Arabidopsis thaliana: one gene and its partner. The protein of the gene in region 2 interacts with the protein of the main gene of each other region in a pairwise test. Each region holds a gene or a part of one and is shown on either strand. Other genes may lie near its edges.

What was found. Proteins that work in one complex are often made in the same cells at the same time.
Region 1: the proteins of BAT5 (region 2) and AT3G14860 interact in a protein complementation assay, tested with the Arabidopsis thaliana proteins (one large-scale study listed by BioGRID).

What each region holds. Positions count from the first base shown.
Region 1 is NC_003074.8:4,996,218-5,004,979, forward strand, and holds AT3G14860 (NHL domain-containing protein), read right to left. Parts: upstream 4,830-8,762; 5' UTR 4,678-4,829; coding exon 4,551-4,677; intron 4,436-4,550; coding exon 4,364-4,435; intron 4,262-4,363; coding exon 4,094-4,261; intron 3,819-4,093; coding exon 3,648-3,818; intron 3,520-3,647; coding exon 3,307-3,519; intron 3,193-3,306; coding exon 3,104-3,192; intron 3,016-3,103; coding exon 2,374-3,015; 3' UTR 2,087-2,373; downstream 1-2,086. Other genes in the region: TBL41 (TRICHOME BIREFRINGENCE-LIKE 41), read left to right, coding at 329-500, 588-763, 857-1,015, 1,094-1,394; AT3G14870 (hypothetical protein (DUF641)), read left to right, coding at 7,942-8,762.
Region 2 is NC_003075.7:7,207,174-7,215,670, reverse strand, and holds BAT5 (bile acid transporter 5), read right to left. Parts: upstream 4,865-8,497; 5' UTR 4,691-4,864; coding exon 4,549-4,690; intron 4,459-4,548; coding exon 4,411-4,458; intron 4,316-4,410; coding exon 4,260-4,315; exon of another isoform or gene 4,190-4,259; coding exon 4,059-4,189; exon of another isoform or gene 3,981-4,058; coding exon 3,534-3,980; intron 3,443-3,533; coding exon 3,106-3,442; intron 3,021-3,105; coding exon 2,958-3,020; 3' UTR 2,295-2,957; downstream 1-2,294. Other genes in the region: SAP7 (A20/AN1-like zinc finger family protein), read right to left, coding at 1-330; WRKY19 (protein kinase family protein), read right to left, coding at 6,202-6,408, 6,639-6,755, 7,108-7,155, 7,255-7,327, 7,427-7,584, 7,656-7,718, 7,841-7,925, 8,071-8,497. UniProt on the Arabidopsis thaliana protein: Plastidic transporter involved in the biosynthesis of aliphatic glucosinolates by translocating the biosynthetic intermediates of Met-derived glucosinolates across chloroplast membranes.

The DNA of each region.
Region 1 (8,762 bases), on a different chromosome or scaffold from region 2:
GAGTGAGCAACCAATGAGAAAAGAGAATGCTATTTATATAGTTGTTTGCTATAATTGAATGGTGTTTAGAATCTCCAAAATTGCACGAGATGAAAACGAACTTTTTTTGTCACAATATATGCCAAGTGGTGGATCCGGCGTGAGTTACACGCGCCGCCATTGAGATTAGGACAGCCACCAAACTCTTCCTCATAAGAAGACATAAATTCCCCCACACTTGTGGGGACAGTAACTCAAATCTTTCGACGGTTCTGTCCTCCTGTTTCTTAAGTTAATTTCAATGCATGCCACCGACATAAAACGCCACCGTTTATATTGTTTGTTCTAGGTTCAATGGATTGCAGTTTTTGAAGAAAAACAAAGGGAAGAAGATTATGTTTGTTGGTGATTCTCTTAGTCTAAATCAATGGCAATCGTTGGCATGTATGCTTCATTCCTCTGTTCCAAATTCTACGTATACTTTAACCACACAAGGTAGTATATCAACCTACACATTCAAGGTAGTTGTTATTACCAAATCTACACTTGTTTTGGTCAAGTTGAATAGAAAACCGGGATGAACTAAACCGGAGTGGTGAAAATTGCAGGAGTATGGACTGGAATTGAAGCTTGATAGGAATGTTTATCTAGTAGATATAGTTAGGGAGAAGATTGGGAGAGTTTTGAAGCTTGATTCGATCAATGATGGAAAAAATTGGGTAGAGATGGATACATTGATTTTTAATACTTGGCATTGGTGGAGTCGGAGAGGTCCTGCACAACCGTACGTTCAAGTAACTCTGAATTAATATGCTTTGTTTTTGGCTTAATTACATGCAATGTTCAAAGTTTGGATTTGTTTTGTTAATTTTGGCAGATGGGATTTGATTCAAATAGGGACTAACGTTACAAAAGACATGGACCGTGTGGCCGCGTTTGAAATTGCGCTTGGGACTTGGGGGAAATGGGTCGATACCGTCTTAAATACTAAGAAAACTAGAGTCTTTTTTCAAGGAATTTCTCCATCTCATTACAAGTAAGTTGATTTTGTTGATTAAAAAGATGATCAACTAAAGAAACTTGTATTTAAAAAGTTGGCTTTGTTGTTTACCAGAGGAGTTCTGTGGGGCGAACCAGCGGCAAAGAGTTGCGTGGGACAGAAGGAACCACTTTTGGGGACAAAATATCCAGGAGGATTGCCAGCAGAAGTGGGAGTTTTGAAGAGAGCACTCGGGAAAATATCGAAACCGGTGACATTGCTAGACATTACGATGCTTTCGTTGCTTCGCAAAGATGCTCATCCTTCGGTTTACGGTCTAGGCGGGCGAAACTCCTCCGGTGACTGCAGCCACTGGTGTCTCTCTGGGGTACCGGATACTTGGAATGAGATTCTTTACAATTATATGGTTGAGTAAAAGAAATAAAATACGGAAACATCAATTATAGCATTTGTTATTGTGATTGATCATTTAAATCTGAATAAAAGGTCCGTTTCTGAATTTTGTAATCATACATAGGTTATTAGAATTAAAGAAATCGAATGATCAAGAAAAATAATTAATCTAAACCCTACCTCCGTGTAGTGTAAGTGAACACAATATGAAACTGTATAGATCAAAACTTCTATAGCTAATTCATTTAGTAAGGTCGTTTTTCAACTGATCGATAGTTTGTCAACAAAGCACATTCCAATTATTAAAGTTTCAACCAAATCTCTACAATAATTCTATAAAAATGGAACTGAATGAAGTCAAGTTATTATCAAATTCGATCTTAAAAAATCATATTCGTATGAATGAAGTCAAGTTATTATCAAATTCGATCTTAAAAAATCATATTCGTATTCGTACTCTCTTTATCTCCATGCCAAACACATAGATTTTACTCTGTTCTATCATGAGCACCTAATATTTTTGTAATGAATGTATCATGAGTTGAACAAAAGGGTCCTTAGCTCAGTGGTAGAGCATTTGACTGCAGATCAAGAGGTCACCGGTTCGAACCCGGTAGGGCCCTTCATTTTTTTTTCCTTTTTTTTTTTTTGACTAAGATTCTTTACAATTATATATACTTTCTTAGGACCATGGTTAGCAAGGAACCTATCTCTAGCAGCCAAAGATCTATATATAGCAAGCAAGAATGTGTTAATAGCAAGTTAGTAACGAAGAGCCTGTTCTTGTGATCGTATAAGTTCATAATACATCAGATTTTCAGTCATGATTCATCAATCCTTCGTTACAAGAAAAGCCTTTAACCTCTTTTTCATCATCTGTGTAATAAGATTTTCTTAGTAACTAACAAAAAGAAAACATAAGGAATCTCCTCAAACCAAGGACAAAAGAAAGGGCACAACATACTCAGAAAAGGGTTCTAATGAGTATGTGATTTTACTTTCTAGAATCGAAATGGAGTTTCAGGTCCATACTTGCTGCTCCTCATGTTGTAATGATCAAACTTTGAACTATTACTGTACTCCACAGGCTTCACCGTATCTGATGGTGTTGGCTTTGGTTCTGTCTCGGTTGTTTTATCTCTATGACGACGCCTTGACCGCTCTTTATGGATCTTCGGTTGGGCAACCTCTCCCGAGGCATAGAACTGAGCATAGTCCTGCCGTTTTGATGATGTCCGATGGTGCTTGGATGATGACAAAGTAGGGTCCTTCATTACACTACTTGATCTTAGCTTTGGCGTCTTATGTTCAGGGTAACTATCATCAGCTTTAGGTAAGTGAGCATGTCGGGATTCTGAGATTGGTGCTGGGGCAGTATGCCTTTGGACTCGAGGTGGTTCTTGTTCGTCTTCAGGCATTATGAGTCTATCTTTTAATGGCCTTAGATTGGGGTTGGTTTGGAATCGGGCTGGAACTAGGTGGCTGGTTATAAACTCGAGAGCAAGTTTGCAGAGATCAGTAAGGAGTTGCCCAAATGATGGCCAACCAGGTTCTTCCTTGGTTATTGTTTTCTCATGGACAGGCCGGGAGAGTTTCTCTTTTCCTGGATGCTCTTCTTCATAGCTGGTTTCTGATCCTACCTGCTGTAAGATAAAACAGAAATTGTTGTTGTTTGTAGCATATGGTTGATGAGAAGCGAAAAGGCACGAAAGAGAAGAGATAGAAATTTACCGTCTTTGAGAAGAAAGAATTTCCAAAGCCCTGCTGGAGCATACAAGTAGCATAACCAATGAGAACAGCACCAATAACCAAGAGTATATCTGCACCGAATGTAAGCACGCAATGATCTTCTGTTAACACTCTCAAATCCACCCCTAAACAGAGTGTATGCAAAATGATCTATGTAGTGGGAAGAGGTGTTTTTGACTTCTTACCAGTTAGAGAGATTGAGCTATCATCTTGATAGTCACAGTCCTCTTCACTGAGAGAGATTTGGCGAAGAGCCGCATTTCCTCTATCGATGACCAGCAACGAGCAGGTAGGCCGAACATATACGACATCAAAATCATTTGAGAACTTTGCATCCTCACTTGGCCCATCTCTATACCCAGCTATATTTGATTTTCCCCCAGCTATCGTAGTAACACCTGTAACAAAAATGTTTCAGACTCTTAAGAACACAATTCTTCTCAGTTTAATTATATTTTTCAACAACAAGCAACCATTTCAGTTTTTGAGTGCTGATGTAAGTAAAACCTATAGAAAACTTGTATACCTGAATCACCAATCTTTCGGATGGCGAGATTCAAAGTATCAGCGACATAAACGTTCCCTTTGTCATCCATTGTAACGCCTCTCGGATGGTTAAAACGAGCCTCACTCGGTTTTCCATCTGCATGCCCTGTTTTTCCTTGAAAAGATCCAGCCACCAATCTTCCCCTGCTGTCTGCCCACAAGTACATAGATTATAAACAAAGTCATAAAAACCTCCAACACTAAAAAAGAAAGAGAAAATCAAATGTTTCATATATAGTATAAAGAACCAGAATATTGAAGTAAAATAGAAAATGTAATGCTACAAGCCAAGATCATCAAAAGATCACAGTAGTATCGTTAGTGTATCAAGTATAATCTGCGATGGCATGTGTATATGATTGGATGTACTTAAAACTGCAAAAACTAAGTCATAAAGAAGAGAACTTGTGGAGAACGAAGTTTTACACTGAGACAAGGGAGGAGTGATTTTCATGATGTTGCTATTAAGTTCATCAACAGCATAAAGTTCTCCATCATCAGAAACTCGAATCTTGTAAGGAACAACACCAATATCGTTTCCTTCCACAACAGTTTCGACCAAGTAACCATTCTCAAACTGAAGAACATTAGTGTCTGCACCACAAGTAGCAGTTAGAGAAAGAAACATCAAAACCAAGTTTATGAACAACAAACAATCAAGGCGACCAAATTCAGTCGTACTAATTGAGAATTTACCTGATTGGGATAATTTAGAGGATGATCCAGTAGTCCACTTGAGAACCGATGACATGTGCTTAATCAAGGAACCTAAATTCAATTTACAACAATTGACATAAAAAACCAGAAATTGAAGAGTGAATTCACTAAGAAAGTGAGTGAAGCAGATAGATCAAAGCAACGAAGTTAAGTATGGTAAAGTTACCAGAAGGAGCAGCTTGAGCTTGAAATGGAAAGGAGTGAAGAGTAAAGAAGATCCATAAAGTGAAGAAAGTATTGAAAGAAGAACAAGTAAAGCTCTCAGCGTTTAGAAGAATCTGAGATTTGCCCATCTCTTTCTCTGTATCTTCCAAAAGTACAATTTTATGTTGGAATCGAACCCTAGTAGAGGCGATTCACATCTTCCAACACACCACAACACCAACTGATAGAATGAAACCAATTTGCAGATGACAACAGATTTTTTTCTTTTCTTTTTTGAAAGTAAGAAAAGAAATTGTGTAACGAACATAAAGTTACCTTATTGGGTTACTCGTGTTTTTTATGGGCCTTATAATAGGCCCATTAAGGTTCTTACCTTTCAATACGCCCATTTAGTGAGTGCTAAATCCTTTATACTCACTGCCACTGGGCCACTAGAAGTCTTGAATACTAAAAGACAAAACTAAAGTAAAGAAACAAAAAAAAAAAAGCCGATCAGATCAGAAGCACTTCTACGACATGTCCAATCGCATCAATACCTTTTTCTTGTCTGTTTCAAAATAAGGTAAATAAATTATATGCAACTTTATAGTATGTGAATAGTCGTTAATACATAATAAAAAAATCAAGAATAGTCGTGAATAGAGAAAATCCTTTTTATCAAATCCATACTCTCATAGGCTCATAGCTCTCAATTCTTGGTTTGAAATTGAAATCGAATTGTCTCTCAAGCTTTTTACTTTCCGTTAAACACGGACAATTAACTCACTTTGTACTAACTGATAAAATTACATGCATATGCCACTCCATCACTGCATCAGTGCATTGTATTCATAACTCGTACAAATATAACTGGAATGATGTATTCTCACGATTTCTATATTTATAAAGTTTGCATTTAAAGCCCACCAAGACTAATTTGGTTTACTTATTGCTTATAAGATGATTCAAACTTTGGACTTAGCAATTTTCAATCTTGATTTTGCTTTCATCGATAGGACAACTGTACTTATTGAGTTGCTTCACGTATTTAGTGAAAGCTAATACTGCTATTCAGCTGTCTTTTATGCAACTTGACAAATAATTTAAGAGTCTTATTTTATTTTTGTTCAACATTTAAGAGTCTTATTTAAAAACAAAAGAACTTATAGAGAATGAACTTACATAATTCTCGTTTGATTAAATAAACATCAAGGCAGTTAAATACGGAACTAAAGAAGGGTTAACAAATAGAAAGCGTTTTCAGGAGAATGTGGGAAATGGTTACACTTTTTTTTTAATTTGCCACGTGTCTTTCATCTATCTCACTCATACCGGACGGACCGGTCTTCGCGTACGTACGCAATAACAGCTTCCAAGTAGTTTCATTCCCAACCCAAACCGTGTGATTTTGCGTTCTGTCTGAACATCTTATTCCCTGACATACCGAGAACACCCCTACTTCCTTTTCGACGTTTCTTGGAGTAAAGTAGCAATGTCGGTGTAAATGTCCCTTTACCATGAGGGTATTTACGTAAATCTATGTCCTTTGAACTTCCCTAGGCTCACCCTTCTCTGTCATTTATTACTCTCTTCTCCTCTCCTACGACTCTCTCTCTCAGTCACTCTAAAGCCTTTTTCCCCTCTTCTCATTCTCGAGCTCCGGACTTGTCTTGAAACCGTGAAGGAATCTGTATCTTTTGTATGTTACCCATTTTATTGTCGTTAAGAATCAATTTAGAGGCAAAACGCCGAGAGGTTTGCCCGGGAGAGTGTTTTTACATCGATCAGGTTGGTTAGCTAATCAATATTTATTAATTATCATCTTTTGTTCTTCTGAATGATTTCGTCTTCATTGTTATTCTGCAGTTTCTTATATTCTCATTTTCAATCAAATGAATATATCATTGTGACTTGTGAATGCTCTTACAATCCCATCATTCATACCAATAATGCCATGGTCAAGCATTCACATCAGCTTGAATATTAGTCTCATATTGGTTCTGTGTTTATCCTTTTTCCTTTGGTAGGTAGTGATTTATAATTTCATATGATTGATTTGATCTGCAGGGTTTAAGCAGAGGTTGGTTTGTCATTTCGCCAGTTTGCTTCTTCAAATTCACTCTACGATGAAGTGAGAACAACAAACAAAACATAGATAAGATAGAGACCTTGGAACTGTTGGAAGGTAAATTCAATACAATCTTTTTAAATGAACTTTGCTTCTAAAGTTGTATTAAACCCTGAGAACCATATTAATTTAGACCTTCTGGAGTAATACTGGTTATGTTGCTGAGTTTATTATCACTCTTTAACATAACTCTTCTCATTAGTTTTCCTTTAATCCGTGTGCTTTATGGTCTAAGCTCTAGTGAAATAGAGAAATATGGTTGTTTTGTGAGTAGCTTGTGACTGTACTAAATGTTAGGTAGCTATATTTGGCTTTGAGGCTGTCTTACTTTTTTTTCAAATGAGTGGAATCAAATGACCATTTAAGAGAATCATATACATAGAGACATGTGTGTATTTGTGTGTGGGGGCACTTTTATGTTCTTGGATTCTAGTTTAACTGATTTGGTTTGTAGCAATTATGAATCCTGAATACTCTAATCCTTTTATCAGTGTCCCATAATTGTAAACTTATGAACAACTTTGAGTATATATATGTATTTAAACTCATTAGTTCTTTTTGTATTCACTTTCGCACTTTTTTCTTGACTGTTCCTTTTCAGAAAAAAGTTGAATAGAAAATAAGAACGAGGGGTGTTGAATTATTTGCATGTGTCATGTGTTCTGCAGATAAACCCATTTGGGTGTTATTTTTATTATATGTTGTTTTCTCACTTTTGTTTGATTCTATAGCAGCACAATTTGACTAAATAGCCCCACACACATATATAGCAAAAGATTTCAGAACATTAATAAGAAAGCAAAAAAGTTGATCGGTTCATGAAAAGAAATGGTACTACACACGCAAGTTGTTTATTCTTCTTCCTTGGACATTTCTTGATTGTTTATTCCTTGTAAATTAAAACATTTTTTTCATTTATATATGAACCACATTGTCCCCACAACTCTGGCTGAATCTTTAAGCTGTATCCACTAGATAATCTAAGCATGTATGTCTCTCTTTCTCTCTGTGTGTATATATATTTATTGCAAACATCTCCCTCCTTTCCTTTGTGACCAAAAGTGTAGTGCGAACCATTTGTGAAACAATCTCTTCAAGCTTCTTGTCTGCTCTTCATCTTTTTTTGTTGTTTTAACCAAAGAAGTCTACAAAGTGAAGCTCTATTAATGGTCCTAGATCTAATTTTGCTTTTACTTTTCTCTTTTTGTTCGATATAGACATTGTTACAAGTCCTATTCATCCACTTCTTCACTTTTTTTTTTGTTATCTTACTAAAGCATTGGTGATGAATCTGCAGATGGAGTCTGTGAAACCATTGGATGTTGTTTCTTCAGGAAAAGGAAAACTCAGACGCACATTTGCTAAAGTCATCAACATGAAAAAGCTAACCGGTGTTGTTCCAGAAGGTAACAACAAGGTTGAAAGAGTGAAGAAGAGCCAAGAAAAGGTGAAGTTGGATAAAGATTTAGCAAAGAATGCTGCAAATCTGTCTGAGTCCTTTGACAAGCTGGAGGAAGAGTATGAGAAAAGACTGGCCATGGAGGCTCTTCTTGCAAAGCTGTTTGCTACGATTTCTTCGATAAAATCTGGTTATGCGCAGTTGCAGTATGCTCAGTCTCCTTATGATCCAAATGGGATTCAGAAAGCAGATAACTTGGTAGTAGCAGAGCTGAAGACATTATCAGAGCTGAAACAGAGTTTCTTGAAGAAACAGCTTGATCCTAATCCTGATAGAACTCTTGTTCTTGCGGAGATTCAAGAGCTAAGAAGCGTCTTAAAGACTTATGAGATCATGGGGAAGAAGCTGGAGTGTCAGTTAAAGCTCAAAGACTCTGAGATCATATTTCTCAAAGAAAAGTTTCAAGAATCCATGACTCAGAACAAGTTGATGGAGAAGAGATTAAACCAAAGTGGCCAACTTTGCAATCCATTGGATCATAATCTTCATCTATCGGCGGTAAGTTCGACCCATTTCGTTACTTATCTGCACCACACTGTCAAATCCATCCGAGGATTCGTCAAGTTGATGGTTGAGCAGATGAAACTCGCTGCTTGGGACATCGATATGGCTGCTGAGTTAATTCAGCCTGATGTACTCTATTACAA
Region 2 (8,497 bases):
AACAGGTCTCGACGGCTCAGCCTCGTCCTGTTCCGCGGCTACAGGTACAGAAGACGGCTCAGCGGTTACAACAACGGTTTCCAAATGAGCTGGTTTAATTTCCAGAGGATGTTTTTGTCCAGGTGCAATGATACTGCAAGATGGAAGCTTTAAAGAGTTCTTCACCGCAGCTTTCGCTACCGCGGTTTGATCTTCCTCGGCTCTTAAGCTTCTGTAACATTTCGAGCAGAGATTCATGTTGGATGGTGACCCGAAGAATCCACATCCGTTATCACAGAGCTTTGGCTCTGTTGGTGGAAAGCTTGTGCTGTTGTTTTCCTCTGAGCCCATTTTTTTTGTATCTATTTCACCTTCAACTAAACAAACAACAAAAACAATTTATCATCTGACACCAGAAGACTCATTTTTTAAGGTTGTCTTCAATTCATAACATGATAATCAAATAACCGATTCAATTCGATCAAACCCAGCTTCAATATAATCAATCATTTCGATTTAACGCAGCTTCGATACAATCAAAATTGATCAAATTCCAATAAAACACAGCTTCTATATAATCAAAAATGATTCATTTCGATCTAAACCCAGCTTTTCTATAAACAAAAATTCGATTTAACCCAGCTTTGATAAGATCTATCTCGCTACTCAAAATTTCCCCAAATCCAATTTAAGAACACAGAAATTTGATTAATCGTAACAAAAATGTTCAGATCTGTTGGAAAAACAAACAATAAAGGGAAAAAAATTACCAGAAAAGTCGGATCAAATGAGACCTTTGCCAAAAATTTCAAAAGCTTCTTCCGAATATCCTTATCAACAAGTATCTTAAATCTTCCTGAGGAAGAAGGAAGGGTCAGATTTTTCTAGGGATTTGTTGTAAATTCTGTTCAAAGTTGATCAGAACAAATCCCTTGATTTAGGTGAGAGAGAAGAAAGAAGAGATAACCAAACACGCAACAATGGTTGATGAGAGAAATGAGGCTTTTGTTATATGGTTTGGTTTACGAACCACGAGACACGGTTTCCTCTTTTTTTTTTTTTATTGTCGGTCTTGTCTTTGTTTTTTTCTTAACGTCGTCAGTGTTGGCGTGCTTTTTAATTGGTTTTAGCCGTTGGATGTGTTACGACCGACGTTTATGTGACATTACTGCTTTTAATTTCATCGAACGGCTTATCTAGGGGTAATGACATCTTCGTAATAAATAAGAATCTTAGAAGTTAAAAGAGTCATTCTATTATTGTTACCATTTCTCTACACAGTCCACTGTTTCTTACTTTTCTTCGACAGTCGATTAAAAATATATACGTTCCGGTATTTACGTCGGTTTCGGATTAGATTTTTCTAGTTTGGATTCAGATTTATTCGAAATATCAAAAATTTCAAATTTTGTACAAAAATATATTCAAATTATTTTAAATTATACAAAAACTTTTAGAAAAACTTAAGTATTTTCTATCCGAATCAATCTAAAAGTAAGTAAAATACCTAAAAATATACAAAATATCTTAAAATCTAAATATTTTAGACACTTAAATTGTTGTAAATATGATTATTACTATTAAATTATTTTTATGTATATATATTTTGGATATATTCGGGTACTTAATCGGGTTCAGGTTTGAATCGGGTTCTGATTTCCGGATTTTGGATTTTGATGTTTAGAATCTGTTCGGGTATTTTAAAATTTCGAATTCGGATTCATATTGGATTTGGCTTGATTCCTTGTTTCGGGTATTTTGCCAAGTCTAGTCAATTTGATTAGATAAATCATAAAGCATATGGTTGAACATTTTTAGCTGATTGATATAAGAAAAAGTCGGAATTTTAACAAATTTTATTTTATATGATTTAGTTTGTTTAAGCTATAATTAAAGTGAAATTATTTTTGCAAATATGGCTTTAAGCTTACGGGTTGTATCTTACTTTTGGTCTTAAACACAAACCTTGTTTTTTTAAGAAAATGAATTTTATTTACCTTTTTTTTTGTATTGAAAATCAATAGTATGAAAAGATACGCTGCCAAAACAATTGCGACAAGGACTAAAATATTTACAATCTACAAATAATTGATGTAATCAAACATGACATTCCTCTTTTAAGCTTAGATCTACAAATCTACAAATAATAAATTTTATAGATAATGCTTAGATCATCTTCCACCATGATTCATAACCATTGTGATTAGAGAAACTTTTTTCATTTATCTATGTTTAAGTTTCAAATGGAAGAATCATCAATTATGAGACCTGCAATATATGACTGGCTTACACATCCCCCTAAAGAATCCTACCTAATTCTTAAAGGTCAAGAAACCCTGCTGTTTTTGACTTTGAAAAACCAAACTTCTTGTTGTTTCTTATCCGTGAAGCCAGTACTCCTGCCTTTCTGACCAAAGGTAAAGTCAGTAAATAGAGCCAAAAAAGGAAAAGGTTATTCTTATAGTTTATAGCTATTACTTACTAAGAAATAGAACCAGTGATGAAGTCAGAGTTAACTAAAAGTCTATGAGTAACATCAAAACATAGCCAAAGGATTTATCTTTTCATGATTAAGCAAAGGACCATGAGATAACCTAAAGAGCTCAAATTTGAATATTACTGCCAGAAGGAAGATGCTCAGAATATAGAATAATGCTAGACTCGTCCGGAGACACAATTTTTTTCTTGATACATCGGTTTCCATAAAAGTCTCAAACTTTATATCACAAGTCTTACACATGGACATGAATAGTAAATTGTGAAAACTTGTATTGTTCTCTGGACTCTGGTTGATTGACTCTGTTTTGGTTTGTCTCAGAACCAATCAAGAACCAAAAATGGAAACATTTTAAACTTTTTATGGGTAAATTCTTGGTTCTTTTATATGAAAACATAACCAGATCATTACGAAAACAATTGGAACAGCCGACCATAAACAACAGCAAATTCCGCAAAATCCCTGATTAGGTTTCATGTCACTACTCCTTTCTGTTTTTCCATATGGTAACAAGCGAGACGCCCATTAGAGACATAACAACCGTCTGCAAAATATAAAAAAATTCCGGTTAAACAAAAACATGGTTAATAGAAGAAAATAGATGTAACAAAACTATATTGAAAACTCACGGAGATTGCTGGAGGCACTCCAACGAGAGGATCTTGAAAGAACTTTGTAGCGAGGGCCAGAGCGAGAAGACTACTTTGCATTCCTGTTTCATAGGAAATTGTTCTTTGCAGAGCTTTTACATCAGGTGCCTTGCTGAAGAAGAAACCAGTGAAAAAGTAACCAGCAACAAAAGCCAAGAGATGAAACGTGATGACGAGGAACAAAATGGTTGCACCAAACGGAGACAAGATTGAATCTATATTCAAAGCAAGGGGTGCTCCTATGCAACAACTCATATCGATAACTGTTAACGCCGGAAGAAATGGTTTGATTGCATTAGACAACCTTGGAAACAACCTGCACTCACATTTGTAACGTAACGTTAGTTTTTTGTTCTTTCTAACATATAACATTACAATAATTCTAATCGATTGAGATGATGTCCCACCGGTTCAGAAGTAGTCCTGCGGCAATAGGTGTAATCACCACTTGAAGAATGCTAGAGATCATCCCAAACACATCAACGGGAAGCTTTTTACCAATGAGTAAGAGTGAAAGCATAGGTGTAACGAGGACCGCAGTGGCCGTTGAGATAGATGTCATGACGATGCTAAGCGCCGCGAGTGAAGGATCGGTCAAGAAAGTTGTGTAATTTGATAGCTGAGCTCCACTAACACATGAGACCAACATGATTCCAGCACCTATAGAAGTAGGTAGATTGAAAAGAGAGACAGCAATTACGCCGAAAATGTAACCTAAGAGAGGTTTAATCAAGTATTGTCCGATGTAACCGGCAAAAATAGCATCTGGTCTTTTAAGTGCTTCAAGAAAATCTCTTTCATTAGAGTTGATACCAACAGCAAACATCATGAACCCTAAGCCAGGTACAAAGTACCTAAATAAGGAGAAATAGTAATAAAGAGAGATGTCTAATTAAGATTTTGATCAAATTAGTAAGTAGGTTGATCCAAACCTTGGCTTGAACCATGTGAAAGAAGGTGGATAGACAAGAGCTAATATTGTACTTAACAGAATTCCATGAGGAATAAAAGAGTAGGCTTGCTTTAATGTTTCCATAATAGAAGAAACCTTCTTATGATACAGCTGAAACAAAACAGAACTGTTACTTGCCAAGAAAGCGATAAAAGCCGCAATTTTGTTGATTGTGGTTTACCTCGTTTGAGTCAGATTCGGATACATATCTCCGCCAAGGATGAATTGACTTGCTATCTTTGGATTGTATAACACACCAAAAATCAGAAACATTCAAAAATTGAACTTCTTCACTCCTAAAAACAGAGTTACTAGCCGAGATTTTTACTTACTTTGTGAAATCGGGTTACTTCGTAGTGGAAAATCTACAGAACATGATCCTACAAGAGAACTAAACCCATCAAAAACAAGAATTGAAGACTAAAGAAATGATAACATTTCATAAAAACAGAGGAGAAAGAAAGTGAAACCTAGAGAAGAGAATGAGTTGCGTGGGAAATTCGCAACTCGTCGAGTGCTGTGAAAAGCAAGTGCGTATGAATAGTTTCGAGGTTGAAGAAGACGATGTTGAGACTTTAAGAACAGAGTTTCAGTCGGAGATATCACACCCATTTTTCTTTCTTGAGGCTTAAGAGAGAAAGAGAAAGAGATGTGGAAACAAAAACGCAGCGTTTTTTGTTCGATTTATATTTTTGTTTAGCTCAAAGTACTATACCAACCTAACCAAGGGACGTTTCATGAGGCGTGTAAATTGTTGATACATTTCCACGATACGCACGTGTAAATGACACACCAAGTCACCAACCTATCGTCTCAAATGCACTATTTGAAAGGAAAAAATAAAAATAAAAAATTCTCAAAAGTTCGGGTTTCGATTGGACAATTATCATTTTGAGCAAACAAATGAAGAAACTATTTGATATAATTTAGAGAAAGGGAGAAACAGTTTAAGAAACAGTTTGGGGTTTAATTGGCATCTATATAAAAATTCTTATCTTAAAAAAAAAAGGAATTTTTAGGTATGGCTTTATCTTTTACTTCTTCTTTTTGTTTTTGTTTTGTTTTCTTTGTTAACATCTTTTCCTCTTTACGGTTTACAATGAAACATAATAATTTAGTTCGATGAAGTTTCAGTTTGATTCAATTCAAATTCCTTTTCATTTTTCCATATGAGTATAACTTTTTGTAAGGATACGTTAATTAAGTGAAATTTTGTCTAAACTATAAACTTGGAATAAGATCTTAACATGAAAAATTAAGTTAAATAACAAAATGAATTTAATCCTATCAAGACAATATATTAATTGTCATTACTACTGCAACTATAGAAGCTATGAATCTTTTGCTCTTCTTTACTTCTTAGTGGTGGGCATACGGTTTTTCGGTTTGGTTTCAGTTCGGATTTTTGGTTTTACGGTTTTTTGGTTTTACTAAAACTATAACCATATAGAAACATATGTAATTCAGTTTGGTTACGGTTTTATGGTTTTTCGGTTTTATAAATATTGAAACCATATAAAACCCTAATCGTCCGTCCAAATACTCATTATATACAATCAGTTTTAATGAGTTTTTGTACGGGACTCTGAAGGTTATTGTGTTGAAACTTTAACCAACACTGAGATGCATTATGTTGTATGGATCCAGCCGCCCCAAAAAAGCTCTATCTATGACTTTTCCATTATCGATGTTTGGTCCTGTTCTTTTCATTGTCGATGCGTTAGCGACCCAAAATTATAACTGACTTGAGACATTAACAGATACCTCCCTCATATCCAAATAGGTGCAAATTAAGTTATATTTATGAATCTTAATCTTAATTAGTCTAGACTTTTCAGATTAAGTTTGGAAGAAATATTATGTTCACTATATTTGATGTGTATTGGAATGAGCAAGAAAGAGATGGACAACTTTGTTGGCTTCAGCAAAAAAAAAGAAACAAAAGACATAAAAAAAATTGTGATTTGTCAACGTGAAGTATGGAACAGAAGATTCAAACGATTTTAGTGCAAAGCATATTAGGGCATATGTTAGAATATATATACAACTTTTGATTCTAATATATTCTCATGACAACAAAGCCCAAAGTTTCACCTATCGAAGGCAATCTTCTAAAATTAGCCTCATCCACGGAGGAGCGAAGATACTGAACCTGAGCCCGAGGATGGTAATGGCATATTCACAAATGGATGGTTAAGCAGCTCAGCTGCAGTTGGCCGCTCTTCCGGGTTCACTTTGAGACACGTAAGTATGAAATCCCGGGCGTCTAGCGATAGAATATCAGGTATTTTCGGAAGCTTACCCGTTCCAATGTTATACAAGGCTGTACCCTGCACGTTTACACAAATTATGACCTTTAATTATTACTTCAAAATCCCATAAAAATAAAATAAAAGTTCAAAACAATTGAAGGTGCAAAACAAAATCACTTGTTGAGAAGTACAAATTTAAACTGTGCCAAATGCTTTGTTCATTTACTTTTACAGCTAAATAGTTGGTGATAATTGTGGGAATTTGCTTACTTTCATATAAAGAAAGTTTGAGAATCTTGAAGACTTACGATTTCCAGATCGGAGTAGGGAATCTGACCAGTCAACATTTCTAGCACAGTACACCCAAGGCTCCATATATCAGCTGGAGTTCCATAACCATCATAATCCTTCGGGTTAAGAATAACCTGATCAAATTATTATGTTCAGTTTAGAAACACAGTTGTACAAGTATAGCCTAAAGTACAATCAAAATGATATACATCCGCGTCTGTTACCTATGATCACTAATTACATACTCACAGTTATAATAAGAACTATAAACTAAAATAGAAATAATTTCAAACTAGTTTCAGATTAATCAAAGACCTGAAGGAAACATAACCGGGGATTTTCGAGCTTATCAAGCCTGGATCACAATATATGCGGGAACATATTTAAGTAACAGTTTAAGATACAACATTTCTTTTGATGTATGATATGTTTGTCTATCATTGTATTGACAAATTAAAACAGCGGGAAGGATTTTAAAACAATAACCTCTGGAGCCATCCAATTCCAATACGGAGTTCGCCAGAGGGACATTACCTATAACAAAATGCCACAGGTATCAAGTAAGGGGAATAAGCGATGTACCAGGTTAGTACTTGAAAATACTATAAACATCTATTATTAATGGAAAAGAACCTTAGCCAATCCAAAATCTGCAAGTTTAACTGTTCCATTAGCGTCCACCAATACATTTGCACATTTAATGTTCCTTTTTCACATCAGATGAAAAAAAAGTAAACGACCCAGGAAATCAGAAGCTTGGGAAATACATGAACTGCTATAAAAAAAGAGATTTTTCTAGTCAAACCTGTGTATAAAACCTTTATCGTGGAGATATTTCAATCCATCAAGAATCTGTCTTGTGTATAAGGAGACTACAGAGTCCCCAAGCTGGTTTCTTTGGTAGAGTTTTCGAAGGGACCCTTGGGTTACAAGTTCAAGAAAAATGTACAAATTCGACTCGTCCTGCAAACAGCAAAAATGCATTATGTTTTATGAGTCAGCTGCAACTGAGAACAGGAACCCAGAAATCATACCTTAGTTGTGCCACGATATCGCACGATATTCTGATGCTGAAGCTGACTAAGTAGCGCAATCCCCTGTAGAAAATCAAAAAATGTGGCAAGAGTAATGAGGATTAGCAAACTACTTCCAACAGATCAAGGACACAATGTTACAAGAATTAAAATTTGATGCCAGTAATAGACCAGGTATATCTCACCCCCTCGACTTGTTGTATCCATTCATGTGCCTGACTTCCCTGATCAAGTAGTGAAACTTCCTTGAAAGCAAAGAAGTCCCCGTCTCTACATTTAACATAAACATCCACCATAAAGCATTTTGGTTGGCATGAGCCAAAGGCGTAAAGGAAAACTCGCTTTCTTAGTATCGCTTTGCAACTAAGAAATCTGATTTTAAGTTCAACAAACATTATCAACCAGTAAGACTTACGCTGAAATGCCTTCATATACGGACCCTAATGATCCTCGTCCCAGAAGTTGACCCTTCTGCCAACACGTGATGAAAGATCCTTCGGAGGCATAAATCGGCGACGTATTAGATATTGTCCTTGAGGAGTCACCCTTGTTTACAGTGAATGAGCATGTCTCCTTATCCCCCAATGGGATAAACATAGCTCCCGTCTCTTCCGTTTCCACTTCCTCTTCCCTGGCTTCTGAAGAGGAACTCGGCGGCGCAACTGTTTCAGGTGGAGCGAAATGCGTAACGAAATCCCAAGTTGATCCTCGAGGAATATGAGATAGTTTCATTGCTGGTTGGAGCTGAAGTACTGGTGGTCTTAGCCCCTTAATATCACCACCAACCGCCACAACATCATCGGGAATTAGATACTCTCTCGACTTCACCAAAATAGTCGGCG